Styela clava: one gene and its partner. The protein of the gene in region 1 purifies or fractionates together with the protein of each later gene. This does not show direct contact. Links are inferred from orthologs where the notes say so. Each region holds a gene or a part of one and is shown in the gene's direction. Other genes may lie near its edges.

Region 1 (7,978 bases):
TCGCCGACACATCTTGTCCGCCACGGTTCTAAATCAAAATAATTACTTTTAATTTTCAGTTTCATTTTGTCATAGAATATTGGGCAAGGGACAAAATATGATTATCTTTGTGCTGAATTGTTGCTGTTGTTGGCGTTGTCCTTGTTGTTGTTGTGAAAAATTGATTTAAAATGCATAACTGTATGACTGTATGAATGATGTGGGAAGACTTAATTTTTCATTTTTTTATTTTCAGAGGAATTAACCCATGCTTTTGCTGTTATATATAACTTAATTTATGAAAACACTGATAGATATCTTCAAGCCCATATATTTGAGCATTGTTCTATCGTTATAAATCATCAAGCGACAAAATATATCAATAAACAGACCTCTAGAAAGTTTTTTCTGTGTTGTTTTTTCGGGGACAGCTGTTCTAAACTTTGCTGTATGGAGAAAATTTACGCCATCGTGCAAAATTCCCTACCCACAGACTTCGATGAGTTTAACCAGCGATTTCGTTATACGTATATTTGTGCATTGCCCTCCTCTATATAAGCATCACAATTGATTTTAAAAATTAAATAATTTCTCACCTTCTGCGGAACATAGTGTGGCTGAAATTGTTGCGATAATAACGGGTAACATTCCTATGAAATTCATTTTCAATATAGCTCAGTCAACCTGTAAATATATTACATGCTCTGACTACATCTGAATTTGAAATAAAAATTTTCAGAAATAAACATTTTTAACGTTTTTATTGTACAACTGTTTTAGATACACTCATCGTTGTTTATGGTCTGAAGTCTTTAATTTAACATAACACTAATGAAAGGCCAGGCAACCCCCCCAAAAAGGACAATTTCGTTCAGCATTGTTTTTGCCGTCGCTCCGACTATCGTTTACCCGAATAACCGGACAATTTAGAGTGTTAACGAAAGTTCTTTCACTGGTAATACCATCCCTAATACCTCACTATTTTCTTTCGGTAGGACTGTCCTTTTTTGGCCATTCGCCTGAGCACAAAAGTTCTGGATTTTCATTTCAATAGAGTTGAATTATGTAAGCCAGCCGATAATACGCTAATAAACAGTTTAGCATTTTATCAATCGGCTTTCATCTAATCGCACATTTGAGTCTAAAACTTATTCCTTACATCCTAGAAGGCTAACATACTCAATGGTATTTTTAAAACACATGATATGGATTTCAGAATATTTTAATATTGTTATTTGTTATTTATTTTAAACCGTCTATTGAAATTTATCTGAGATCAGAATCCAAAGACTTGGTCAAGAGCAAACATATATATATGCAAATTTGCGAACAGTTGCTAAAGTACAATTAAGTTATCAGACATTTCACACTTCAGACATAGAATGAACATATAATATCGTGTGGATTAAACTAAACAAAACTAAATGTGATGATATTGCAATCTTTCTTAAGACAAGATAATAAATAGAAAAGAAAAATCTTCTGATAAAATCATTTATATACAAATACACCTCGAAACTCTGACTTTGCGCGGTAGAAACAAGTAGTTACCAAATTTATTATGTGTACCACTACTGTTTTTATATAGATTCCAACGACTACCGAAAGAACGAAATGGCCTACTCCGTCATATAATGCTCCTGTTGAACTGTGTATAGTAAGAATAAAAACTATTCAAAAAATGTTATTTACGTTTCGAAACCCACCTCTGGAAATTGCGTAAAATATTGTATCCGTAACGCCTACGTTTTCGTCTTTCAAATGCGTCTGCTAGGATTCGGTCGGGGGAATTTCATTCTCTTCACAATGAACTGAAATATGAGGCATCATCAAAACAGTAAACAGCGTAATATTGCCGCAGCTTACTCATGTCCGGCCTTGACGATTCTCGGCTTACACAATCTGGTATATACAATAAACAAAAATCTGGCAATTCTGTCGTTTATGTGAAGCTGCTTGCTCAATTTAAAGTGAATTCGTTTGCCTAAGCCCTAATCAAATACATTCTATTTCACAATGCGCACCAATATTAAAAATACTCTGATGTTGTAAAGGTCCGAATGTGCATTGAAATATTTGAGATTCATTAATAAGAATTAATAGTTTAAATTAATTACTCATTTTATGCAACTAAAACCCCTATATTTCTTCATTTCTTTTCGCTATTTCGTTTCTTGGCCTGGGTCCCTCACCCAACGTTCCCAGGTGTTGGGGGCGATGGAAATAAAGTAGTGGGAATTTATATAGTGCCGCAAACTAAGGTACCTGTGACTACTAGAGGTATTTCTGTTTTGATATTCTCCTACTTGTATTTCAATGCGTTATTAAAAAATCAAATATATATATTGCAAATTTATTTTTGAATAAGTTCAACTCAGTCTTGTGAATACGGATAATAGCTTATATTGAAATTCATTGGGTTCAGTATTATTGTGATACTTTCATATTTTTTCTTTCACGAAAGTATAACAAAATAGCATAGACTGTCGTTCCCATGTAGGGCTTCTTTCGTTTGGATAGCTTTTTCAAACAATCCTGAAGTCTAGGTTCTATATTGAAAATCCGACGTTATCCTTGCTTTAAACTTCAATCTAGGATTATGAAATGTTCATAAAGTATATATAATAATAGAATATTCAATACTGTTGCTTCAAAACCTTCTGTATATATATATATTTCGTGAGTGCATGATTATATAATGCTAAAAATCTACAAGTTCAATCGTAAAAAGCCTGATTTCAACCACATGCTATATGTCTGTAATATTCAGTTTATGATGTGTGTTTGACATCTTATATATTTTTTTTTTTTTACAAAATTTCATTCATTCTCGTCGTATATTCATTCTCACATTTTACTGGGTAGGTTTAACAAGACGTTTGTTGTTTGATGACGTAGTGTGAAAAAAAAATTAAAACCAAGCATTCCCGTTAGTTGAAAATGGAAATAACCAGTGGTGGGATTCAGCCGGTTCGCACTCGTTCTATAGAACCGTCCCAACTGTATGAGATCAGCGAACCGGTCAGCATTACTGGCTACTGTCCATGACTTTTTGTAACAGAACCCGTTGAAAAATATGACTTTTGTGATGGAACCGCCTAACAAAAAAAATTGAATCCCACTACCGGAAATAACCTATATTTTGCTATAAACACGTACGTATCTGCTTATTTTAAAACCAAGTCCTAACTATTGCAGACAAATTTTCAATTTTGTTTTTAAACATATCATTGAAAGGGTTGTTGTACACTTTTCTGGAATTTTCTAACATTCATACTAGTGCGTCAATAGGCTTCTATGTACATGCAATAGAATAGCAAAATTTCGAATTTATTGTTTGTGTTTCTATGCAATTCATACTAAAAATGCACTCCCATACAAGTATTGGAATGACGTTAGACCAAGTGTTTTCCTTTTATTATTAGCTTAAGTTTTTGTTTCAATTTGAGTGAATAAAAATTTTACCTTCCATGGTAAATAAAGCATTGTGAGGCACATAGGCTATATGACACCAACGTCGTAGAGAATCTAGATGTTGTAATGGACCTTCCACGACCCTGTAAAATTTTTAAATAGCTTGGAATGAATACGAAATTGTAATTACACGCAAGATACGTACGCTAATCACCTAAGTAGATTGAATAGTAAATTTTTTCTCATTTTTATTTGAAATCTATTTTTTTAAAATAAACTGACCTACGATAAAAACAGCTCTGAAATAGTAAAAATATATTAATTATCAGATTGGCTGTTGCCTGGATAAATTAGTAGCCTATAGCTATATATCGATAGTTTATTACCATTTCACAAAATGAAGTTAAAGGGGTGGAATTTTTCAAATTAGGATAACTTCATGTATTCGGCCGTATTTAATTTTTTGAACGATATGTATTTTGGTCGAGAATTATGAACCTGAATGAAAAATTAAACAAAAACTGTAGTAGTTATTCAAGGGTGGGTAATTACTTTGCTGAGTGGGCCAGTTACAGATAATAGACTTGGCCGGAGGCTCGGAACTCAATATGAAAAACCATGATTAAAAAACTCTTTATTTACAACAGTTAATCCAACAGTCAGGCAAACATTTGCATAGTAATATAAAGCACAATGTAACAATCGGGGTCATTATGACGTTATTTCAACGGAAATTTATTTTCATAAAAATTATAGTCGTAATTTCAGCAGACACAAGTGGGCCGTAATTTACCCGTTTCTGACTGATATAAAATTTTAAATTGGTTATATTTTAGAACATGATCTTACAAGTTATAAACGAGACCTAGTGCGGAATCTACCAGTGAGCAGGGTACCCTGAGGTCTAAGAGCTCATGACCAGCATGTTTTTAACGCTTGACACAACGTTCGTGTTATTTAGAATAATTTAATGCCACATAAAAACTCCTGGAAATGATATTTAAAATGCCAAAAATGTTAGAACGTCCCCATAGTCGTCATTACCCTACGACCAGTGGTGAGATTCAAATTTTTTGTCAGCCGGTTTCTTCACAAAAGTCATATTTTTCAGCCGGTTCTGTTACAAACAGAACATTGACCAGAGTCATTGGCTCTGCATTGACAGTAACCAGTGTTGCTAACCGGTTCGCTGATCTCATAAAATTTCGTGAGACGGTTCAATAGAATCGGTGCGAACCGGCAGAATCCCACCACTGCCTACAACCGCAAACTATTCGTACCATTTTATCTACCGATAGAAAATACCGTACCCATCACTTTATTTAGCATTTGACGTTAACTTCATTGTCATATATTATGGAGTATATATACTATTAAGTCAATTCATCTTGGAAAGATATTTGTCCAACATGGGAAGTCCAACTATATTTCACACGGGAGGGAGCTAGAGTGCGAGCCCGCGAAAACCTGGAGGGAATATTAGAAAGAGAAGTGTTGGTCTGATGATTCACGAATTGGGGTAACGTACCGTAACGTTTCTGACCTTTAGGAGCAAACCGTTGGATAACCGGATTACCGTATATTGCTTGGTTCGTTCAGCTGTTCATGCTTGTTCGCTCAACCCGACAGTGAAGACCAAATAGAGAAATGTTTGGAGGGGGTGGTGGTAAGCATCCTCGTTTTGTTCTCTAATTTTCAGATTTTGGAGTTTTGACAAGAAAATTTGAAAACATACTGACATAGGCTAATATTTCTGAGCCTATATTTTTACTGGTAGTAGGGTGGTGTAGCCAGTCTGCGGACGATTTCATTCAAACCGCTACAAAACAAAAACCATTATTTCTAACCCCTTTAATTTGTTTCACCGTAGGTGCATTGGCATTTCCTCTACACGCTAAACTTTCTACGACCAGGGGTTAAAGCTATACAAACCACCAAAGTACAACACTCTGAAGACTTATTTGCGACCGAACGACCAGTGTGCGAACACGGATTTCAAGCCTTGAACATCGTTTCTGCTGCGCCGAGACTAGGGCATACGCAGCCATGCGTGAAAAAATGGGCTCCTAATTGCATTTCTGACCGTCATATATTTTAAGAACACGGTTATTTCGAACAAAACTCTTCAAATTATAAACAAAGCACCACATCACAGCAATCAAACAGACAAAAACACGGTGGTCGCAAATCGATCGACATTGGCTAGGATTATCGACGTATTGGAAATGCGCACCCCCTATTCCCCCTCCTTTAAATGTAGAAACGCTAAACTTTAAAGATGGTTGAAAGAAACACAACTCTACCTGCCAAGTTTCATCTTTTTATCTCTTATATTTGTATGAATTTTTAAGCTTTTTTAAAGGGACAATGGGTAGTTGGCGACATGGAAAAATGGTCCGTTTTTTTTTCCTCGGTTGTGTTTTCGGTCGAAACTTTTTTGTTTGTGGCTGCATTTTAGTGTAATTTCGCAGAGCTACGAAGAATAAGTGGACGATAACGCGTGAAAAATATCGTCGCGGTTTGTTAATTTTTTCGGCATTAATTTAATCGATGAAGTTGACGGTCGCAAATAGGTCGTGGCCGCAAAGTGGGTAAGCCACCCTAGACTACACAGTCAGGCAGTGGACTTGTTGGCCAATCCCAGACCAGCGGACTGGATTTCATGTCAGGTGCACGCCCGAGTACGCTAGTGCTTCGCAAAAATGCATGTAAGCAGACGAAATAACCGTTATTAAAATTTAAATGAGTGTTTAACCACCAAATTGCAAAAACATTCTCAAAATACATATTTGATACCGTAATGGTTAACTGTTTTGTGACTGATTCAACGTATTTTTAATCCAATAATTTTACACGAATTTTAAGAAGAGTATCTTAAGTAATAATCAGTTGCACGCGGGCTCAGTCGTTTTGCATGCAGCGATCTCTAACCGCACGCCAGGAAATCTGATTTGAGAATTTCTAATTGCATGCTCCATTTCTAGTGAAAAAAAATCTATGGAATACAGACTGGTGCACAGCTGCACAGAGAGATAATGCTGTAATTTACTTGTTCTTCAAACTGTCAAACAAGAAACCCATACAACTTAATATACATAGAATGAAAATTTAAATTTTTGATAAGTGATTGGGTGGTAATGATGTTGCCATTATTAATAAGGTTACCATCTAAAATTAGCAAAGCAGGATAAATATGTCATAATTTAATTTCCTCAAATTTTATGTTTTCAGGATTCGGCGGAGGTGGAGGGGGATACGGTGATGGAATGGGAGGAGGAGGATTTCAGCAAGGTGGATTCTCATCACCATCAGCTGGAGGAGATAAAACCAAGGTAAGAGCAATCATGACAAATGTTTTGATTTTGAAGTTGTGTTGTCAAGATTTGTTAATGATTTTCTTGCAAACGTGCTGAAATGGATGAACATTTTGTGATTGCGAATAAATTATTATTTAGAGTGCTGATTTTGTAAAATGTTTTGGAACCAATATTTATTCTAGATCATTTTAAAATATCCACATGATATTTTGATATTTTCAAGTAACTGTTGAGAATTAACAGAAGTTATTATTAATCTGAATCCTGGTTTTTAAACTGAAATTTTATTTTTCAACATTCATCTTTTTTCTCGAGAATCATTTTAAAAATTGACTGGATTTGATAAATTGATTTTTCTACATTCTGAAGAATTGCTAAAGATTGTTTGGCAAACAGATAATCATCCCTGGATTGCAAAGGATTTATTATTCTAGATTATGACTTTCTGAAATGATTTTTTTCTTCAATAGTTTATTCTCAAAGATCATTCCAAAAAATCAATTTAGTGTACCATCAAGAAACCTTTTTCTTATTGCCTTCGCTTCATATTATTATCAACTTTATTTCAGAAATTTCGTTCACAAAATATAGTTCCATTATCAACATCAGATATAGCTTCTCTCACACATGATGGGAACGGATTCTTCCTGGAAGATTTGGAAGTTGGCCAGGTATGTATTAGTGAACTTGAAAAACAAGAATAATATAGAGAAATCTGTACTCAAATACTAGTCTCCTAGAACAGTGTTTTGCAAACAGTGGGGCGCGCCCCACAAGGGCAGCATAGACAGTAAAAGTAATATGTATATGTAGTTTATTGTTAGCTATTTATTGTTGGTAGGGGGAGGGGGGGGGGGCGCAAGACTTGACAAATTTCAAAAAGGTGGCACGGTTTAAAAAGTTTGAGAGCCACTGCTCTAGAATAGAAATTACTTTCCGTGGACTTCCAGTTCCAAATATATTTTTGTAAACTTCTGACAAATTACATTACCTTAGGTTACATTACTGCTGACTTCGAAATACTTGATTAAAATTCATTCAAGATAGAAAATATTCAATTATGCCATTCCATCTTTTGCTGTAATGTTGTAATTTACTCCACATTTCTGAGTATAACTTGTCTTTTCAAGCATGCTTATGTTGTATTTGGTCTTGTAATATTTTTCGTTGTGCATTAATGAATATGATAAACAAACTAAATAATTGTCATTTTGGATTCTGTGCACTCTCAGCATTTTTCACCTATCTGAGATAAATATTGATTTACA
Region 2 (7,428 bases), on another chromosome or scaffold:
GGTTACCGCCTAACCCGAAATTATTTGCCTAGCGCAAGCTCTTTTGTGGTGCTTCTTTGTTGGCATATTTTGCCATTTCCTCTTCCGCGTGCTCAGTATGAACCGTCATATTAAATGAAATATTATACTTCGATATCCCATTTCATGCTTGGGCCATATTATGTTCTGTATAATGTCTGTCAAGTTATTATTGTAAATGTTTGTCTATGCATAACTGTCACCGCTGTATCAAATAGTATGTTAGCTCTGTACAGTATGATAATGCTCTGTTTTAATATTTGTTAACATATATGCGCATGAATGTCTGTCTTTTTACTTCGAATAAAGTGTAGAAAATAAGTTCCCAAAGTGAAATCTATTAATGATCGTCTGATAAAACACCAGATCAAGTCGTTTTACATTATGAATTCTGCAAATTTGCGCACATTGATCAGTGTTATTGTACCAGATTCAACGTAAAGTATCTCACAACAATGCATATTCGTATGTGGAACGAAGAGTCGATTCTAACATTCTGTGCCCTGTACCTCCATATTTACTCGTAGATTTCAGTCTGTCAACTCCAAACTATCTGTTCTTCACTGTTGGTATGTCTTGATAATAATGCCGGAAATTGCAATAATAATGCAATAAAATTTACCATGTTTTAGTTCGTTTTTCTAGCTGTTTTATCAATCATTATAGACATCATTTTATGGAATAATTCGTTGCAAACTGAGAATTTCATTTTGTATAAAACCACGAAGGGTATTTATTTTATGTTTAATGACTTTATCATCATCACGAAATCATTATTTTTATTAACCGTTACACAAACGGACATAGTGTTTTGCGAAATTGACCTTATGAAAATTCTAGATTATCAAACTATTTCGATATGGACACCTTGAACTAGCACGTGGGTTTTATATCTACCTGAACTAAAGTTTATTGATTTTAACGAAATTGTAAAACAGTTCTATGCTTCAAATCATATTTTCATTATATGTCGCATGATGCTACTATTCTACATTTCCCTATATGACTCATTTGTATCTATATTCATATATATATATATCCACCAGTTTTGAATACATCTCGTATTACTGTGCATTTATGGGAACTATTCTGAACATTTGTCGTTAAAATGACACACATTGCAAATAGCAACTCGAACGTAAATATATAACAAATAATGAAAATTGGTATAAAACAGTGTTTGTTCAACGTTTTGTTGGGTTTAGGTCAGTCCGTGTACAAAACCAATAAAGGGCATGTTCATATGTTTACGCTTTATTTTATTTTAACGATCGAATTCAGGTTACAGCACCAATCATTAACTGAGATGGATAAAAACAAGAGAGCAATGCTCCTAGACATAGACACCACTGTCAAATAACTACATCAAAGAGCTTAACTTTTATTGGAAAATTACTCAATTTTCAACAACGTACTCACACCCCTAATCGCTTCGCAAAAAAAAAATGTTGTGCCTCTCGTCAAGTGGTTATATGGATCTTTTTTTTTATCATTCCATCATCTTGTTGTTCTTGTTTCATATATCCGAATATCGGGGCAATCTTAGGACCTCTAAAGTGGGAGGTTTTTTTATCGCGAACTGTGTACTGCGGTACCTGATCTGGTAACACGAAATGACTCGGATCAGCGCCTATTTCAATTCACGTTGAAACTGAATCATGGAGAATGGATCATCGTCACAGGATCTGGAAAAGCTATGACAGTCCCTGTACCGTTACCCTGATACAGTTACCGCATATGATTTTTGGGGAATTGGTGATAAAATATTTAGTTCTACATTCAGTGTTCACGTATTTGAGCATAGCTCCCTTGTTATCAAATCGAAGATTATACAATTTTTTTTAATGCAAATACACACTCTGCCTTTGTTATGTATCAGTTGCTATAGATATGAAACTATTAAAGAAGCTGCTACACCAACCAGAGGATCTGAACTTACCGAGGATTTGATCTTTACAGATTGTTGTACGTCAACTACAGTTGATGATGGAATTGGTCCCCTCTCTCTCTCTCCAATGTCTGAAAGTTTTACAGATGGAAACATGTTTTTAACTCAAGCTTTAAAACTTAACTCACATGAATTCAGAAACAAATGGAAGTCTTCCGACCATAGCGTCACAAGTCAGGAATTTGTGCCAGTTCCATTGACATTGACAACCATTATAAATTTGATGGATTAGGATATTTTAGCAGCCTGCCAAATAGTCTTAAAACATTAAAAATAAATATGAGGGATTTATTGCATCATTTATGCTTCTATGAACAGATATAGATGACGCAGACTGAACTAGTCATATATATCGTTGCAAACGATTAATTCACTAATATATATCACATATATTTTGAATATAGAAACACTGGGGTTTCATAGATGTGATATGCTGTAGTTCAATACTTTATACTTATATAAACAAACAGTTATTTTTTATTATGTTCTGTGTTTACTACATTTCATGCAATGTTTTCAAAAAACTTCACTTACAACTTGGAAATCTAAGTTAATTGTCGAGAATATTAAAAATCAACAAATATGAATAAGTGTTCTATTTTAATTATATCTTCATACATTCCAGATTTTATGTGATTATTTAGTTTTCCAATGCCAAATTTTGAGTAAAGTAATTCCGTAAAGTCCATTGCTATTACAAGTGAGGAATGGACAATTATTCATACATGCAGACACACAATTTTTTTTAAAAGATATTCTTGCTGTCATTGTTTACTTTGGTATTAAGACTCGAACCTCTTTCTTCTTTTTGATATTTTCCCAAGTTGTGATGATATATATTATTATAAGATAATTAATTAAAGTATATTCAATCAATTTTTATTGTACTAAAATAAATTTTACTCCATGAGATTTTATAGAAGACTTAGAGATTTTTCTAACGGTTTTATTTTTAAAATAATCTGAGTATAATAATATTTATCAAAATTCAAAACTAGATATATATAACCGGGCAGTTTACCACACATTTTCATGTCCGCGGATTGCCGTGGTATTTTAGAGTAATCATACTTCCATTTTGTCGACGCAATCGCAGGTTAAATTGAAGGCAATGTCCCTGTCGGTTATGGATTGATTACTTTGCACAACAGAAAAATCATAATTATCCGTCGAAAAAGTCGTTCCGCGGGGATTTCGAGGCGATGAATATGTATTTTTGATATACTGATATACTTTATATGTATTTAATTGTACTCTATGGGATTTTCTCACAGATCTTGAGATTTTTTTAACGGCGATAAAGAATTCGCAAAAATAAGTATCAAAACTAAATACAATAATAATCCGCGTAATCGCGGAGAATGTTTCAAAAGGGAATGGGAATTTCCGTTTTTTTTAATCCTTCCAGGACAATTAAAGTAAGGCAATATCAGATTGAATTGGTCATTATCAACTTAAGTGTTTTAAAAGTATAACAGCCCGAAAGTTCAATACATTTGTGTATTTTTCTTACCCAAGCCTGGTTTTATAGGGAGAAAGAGATGAGATGGATTTTGGGGATATTGACTATCACCCTATATATTTAAGTTCGATTCCCGCGTTATTGTTTTGACACGCGTTATGGAATATGACTCCAATCTGGACTCCTTCAGACGATAATAAGCGCACAGTGTTGATGCTAATCGTTGTTGTATATTATAGGAAGATGCACAATCCAAATTCCGAAACAGATAAAATTGAGACACACTTAACTCTTAACACAGTAAATCAGGAGTGAATCAAAACACATCACACTTAACGCAATAAAACAGAAGTGAATCAGAACACATCACACGTAACGCAATAAAACAGAAGTGAATCCAAACACATCACACCTAACGCAGTAAAACAGAAGTGGATCAAAACACATCACACCTAACGAAGTAAAAACAGAAGTGGATCAAAACACATCACACCTAACGCAGTAAAAACAGAAGTGAATCCAAACACAATATTATGCAGCCCTCTCGGCAAGCCGGGACGATACGTCATCAAATTGGTCGATACGAGAAAGGCAGTACATGTAATCAGTACTCAGTGTTGCTACAATAAATGACCTATTGTGGGAAACGGAACACACTATTAAAATGAAAGGGTTAAATACATTATAATTCATAGTTACACAATGCACATTCGCTACAGTTTAATTAACCAGGTTTGTGTTTATAAAGGTTTTGCCCATTTTGCAGAATTCTCCATTTTTTGATTATGGAATTTTCAAATCAAACTCTTTTATTTATTCAACGTTGTCGGTAATCACCAAGGCCGAGCACATAGTAAACTAAACAGGCAATGGACACTACGCAACAGAAAGTAAGCAGGAATTAAGAAATGGCGATTTTTCTCGTAAACATACAAACAAGATTAAGGACGGGAATTTAGCAAAACAGTGTGTGTGTGTGTCGGCAGCATAAATGTATGGTAATTTATGGGTAACTATTCAAAACTTTTCGATTACCGAACAAAAGCAGGTTAGGGACACGCTTGCCACCGCACTGATTACCCCGCGTGGTTCGCATGTTCGAATATCGTGTGGGACAATGCTGACTCTCTGTGGTGAAAGAACCGCTGGATTCCTCGCCGTCACATAAACGCTTGTCGGTTACAGCATTCTCCACCATCGGTTCCATGCATCTGAAAAAAATATAGTCTGCTATCTAACTAATCCCATTCACGACGTGGAATGGTAACCGGATGAGAGATTTTGACGTTAATATTGTCAACTCGTGACTCCATACACTCCTTCGTACCAGAAAATGATGGGGAATCACCTGTATTTGTCAAAGACGCTTCCTCAATAAGCCAATGAACGAAATAGTGTCAGAAGTTCTCAGAACAAACCATTAATTCAAAATATTCGTTTGATGTTGCATATATACTGTCATTATGGCATCATTTTGTACAAATTCCACCAATTAACTGTATTTTTAATTCACTATATTATGATATGATATACTGTGTAGACAGACGTATTTATCATGCTGTAGCTTTCAAATTGTCCTAAAGGCTAATTTTGCATTTCGAGCAAGATTGATTCTATAGTCATAGTGTACTTTCAGCGATTCCTTTGGGACTTTTCCATCAGTGCTTTAGATCTGTATTGCTGTTGGTGAACTTTGAAAATTTGCCATTTCCTGATTTCTGTATTTACATATTTAAGTGTGTAATTTCTGTTGCACATTCTATTTTACATTGCTAATTGAACACTCATACATGGAATTGAAATACAATGTTGCGTAGGGTTTCTTATTCTGGTACTGTTTTCGAAATTGAAAAATAATATTGTTAAGAATCTGAACATCATGTTTTTAATGATGTGCTGTATGCAGTGCATATACAAATGTGTTTTTTAATTGACAAGTAAGCCTACATTCGGCAATGGTGAATAATTCTTTGTGTTTATGATTCAGTGATTACTTGATTAGTTTACTGATTAGTAATATACTGAATATAAGTTCTGTCCCACCAAATGTTTACTCAATACTCTTCTGTTCAAAATCATGGATGAAAGTTGGTGTGATTCATGTTTAATATGTGGCCAGAGATATTTTTCTGAAGATGAAATGACAAAGCACATTGAATTGGATCATGCAACTTGCAATAGGGAAAATGATATTGACAAATCAAAATGTCCATTTTGTACATACGTGGTTTCCAATAAAGATGAAAACAAGATGGAAACCCATGTAATGGATGTTCACAAGGAGGAAATGCGTACACCAAAGAAAGGTATCCACTTTAATTTATTAAAGCAAAATCTGAAGGTGCGAAAGGTCTGATCATTAGTTTGATTTATTTATTAACATACTCTTTGAATATCAAATGTAAATTCTGGTTAAGTTACCTAAACAGAGTATGAAGTTTCTCAAACTGGGTCCTAAGCCTCCCCTAGTGATCCATGAATTGGTTTTCTGGAGGACATGACTAAAGGTACTATTAGCAGTGACTACATTTATTCACAGTAAATTGACAGAGATTTGCCTAAATTGTTGATTGTAATAGGATTTTTCTTACTTTAGTTGGCCTTTCATTATTGAATGTGTTGCATAAACTAACTAACAGAAACGCATAAGAAGCAAAAATATGTCTTTTTTGAAAAGATCAGGGGGCCACAAGTGTTAAAGATACATTGAATGGCGGCCACAGATCATAAAAGCTCGAAAAACACTGGCGTAATCATTCATAGGCCTATCAATAATTACTGAAAGCCCCTTAGTCAGGATATTAGATAATTAAAGCTTAAATATAGTATAGTGTTACAAAATCCTATCTGTTGCAGATGAGTGTGGAGCATCATCAGGGAGTGAGGTTAATGGAGAATGTAGTAACAATGTTGATTCATCTCAATCAGAAGTATTAAGTTGTCCTGTTTGTCAATTAACTGGATTTGACAATGTTGACAAACTAACTTTTCATACAGAGTCTCATTTTATTGACAATGAACAGGGACATATGTCAGTAAAATCTGATTACACACAAGATGAGCTGTTGGCTATAAGTATGATTTGTATATTAAGTTACTATATTGCAAAGAATTCAATGTATCAAAGTTATCTCGCCTATTTGAAAAGTTGTTTATGTAGTAACTAATAAGTAAATTTTTAAGATGCGTCTACAGATAAAATTCTCTGCTATAATTTATTTCTGGCTCACAAAGTTTCTTATATGTATCTTCACTTCTTATTACTGCTTGGTTTGCTAGTCTGGGTCCTGGCCAACCTAGGTTCAGATGCAATGATTGCGGTATTAGATGTTAAATTTATGAAGTATGTTTTTTCCTAATCTAATGGATTCCTATGTTCATGTCTTTTCTTCTCTGGTGTGAAGCATCTCATAAAAATTATTTAGTCCCGAATCACACAAACTTTAACAAAAACTCATTTAAATAAGATCAATAGTATAGCGACTGTCATCACTCTTGCTCAAATGGGCTTACTCCAAATGAGTTTACTCCGATCTACATTTTTGTTTTGTGCTATCAAAATAAACCTCATTGTAACACCACTTCTACACTTTGATACTCTAATAATATATCTCCATTCTAGAGTTACAAGAGCAAGAAAGATTCGAACTACAAGCCAGTCGAGACGTTGCGGAAAACTTATATTTTGAAGAATTAAGGAGTAAATATGGAATGGGCAAAGAACACCAAAGGACTGGTTTCCGGAATCAAGCGTTTAAAAATATGGATAAACAAGTTGGAAGAGCATCATCATCATGTTTTGATTATTACAGGTAGATATGGTCATGAGAATCATGAGTGTATATGTTTACTGTTTGATCAAAACTATAAACTCCTGTCAAATATAATTTTGCTTTAAAAGTAAATGATTTAGCTCGCTCAAAATCGTATGATGAGGTTAAATACCAATATTCAGGAGTATTGCTTTCATTAATTCAAATGTTGTTGTAATGTGTTAGGA

The links. Proteins that work in one complex are often made in the same cells at the same time.
Region 2: the proteins of replication protein A 32 kDa subunit-A-like (region 1) and zinc finger-containing ubiquitin peptidase 1-like purify together in Homo sapiens (affinity purification with western blotting; 3 studies listed by BioGRID, with this or other methods). This does not show direct contact. The link is inferred for Styela clava from reciprocal best matches to the Homo sapiens genes RPA2 and ZUP1.

What each region holds. Positions count from the first base shown.
Region 1 is NC_135250.1:25,184,302-25,192,279, forward strand, and holds the start of replication protein A 32 kDa subunit-A-like, read left to right. Parts: upstream 1-4,870; 5' UTR 4,871-5,040; coding exon 5,041-5,059; intron 5,060-6,624; coding exon 6,625-6,725; intron 6,726-7,279; coding exon 7,280-7,381; intron 7,382-7,978. Other genes in the region: uncharacterized protein LOC120335106, read right to left, coding at 1-28, 576-642. UniProt on the Homo sapiens protein: As part of the heterotrimeric replication protein A complex (RPA/RP-A), binds and stabilizes single-stranded DNA intermediates that form during DNA replication or upon DNA stress.
Region 2 is NC_135251.1:18,600,287-18,607,714, forward strand, and holds the start of zinc finger-containing ubiquitin peptidase 1-like, read left to right. Parts: upstream 1-4,381; 5' UTR 4,382-5,505; coding exon 5,506-5,734; intron 5,735-6,284; coding exon 6,285-6,503; intron 6,504-7,050; coding exon 7,051-7,240; intron 7,241-7,428. UniProt on the Homo sapiens protein: Deubiquitinase with endodeubiquitinase activity that specifically interacts with and cleaves 'Lys-63'-linked long polyubiquitin chains. Shows only weak activity against 'Lys-11' and 'Lys-48'-linked chains.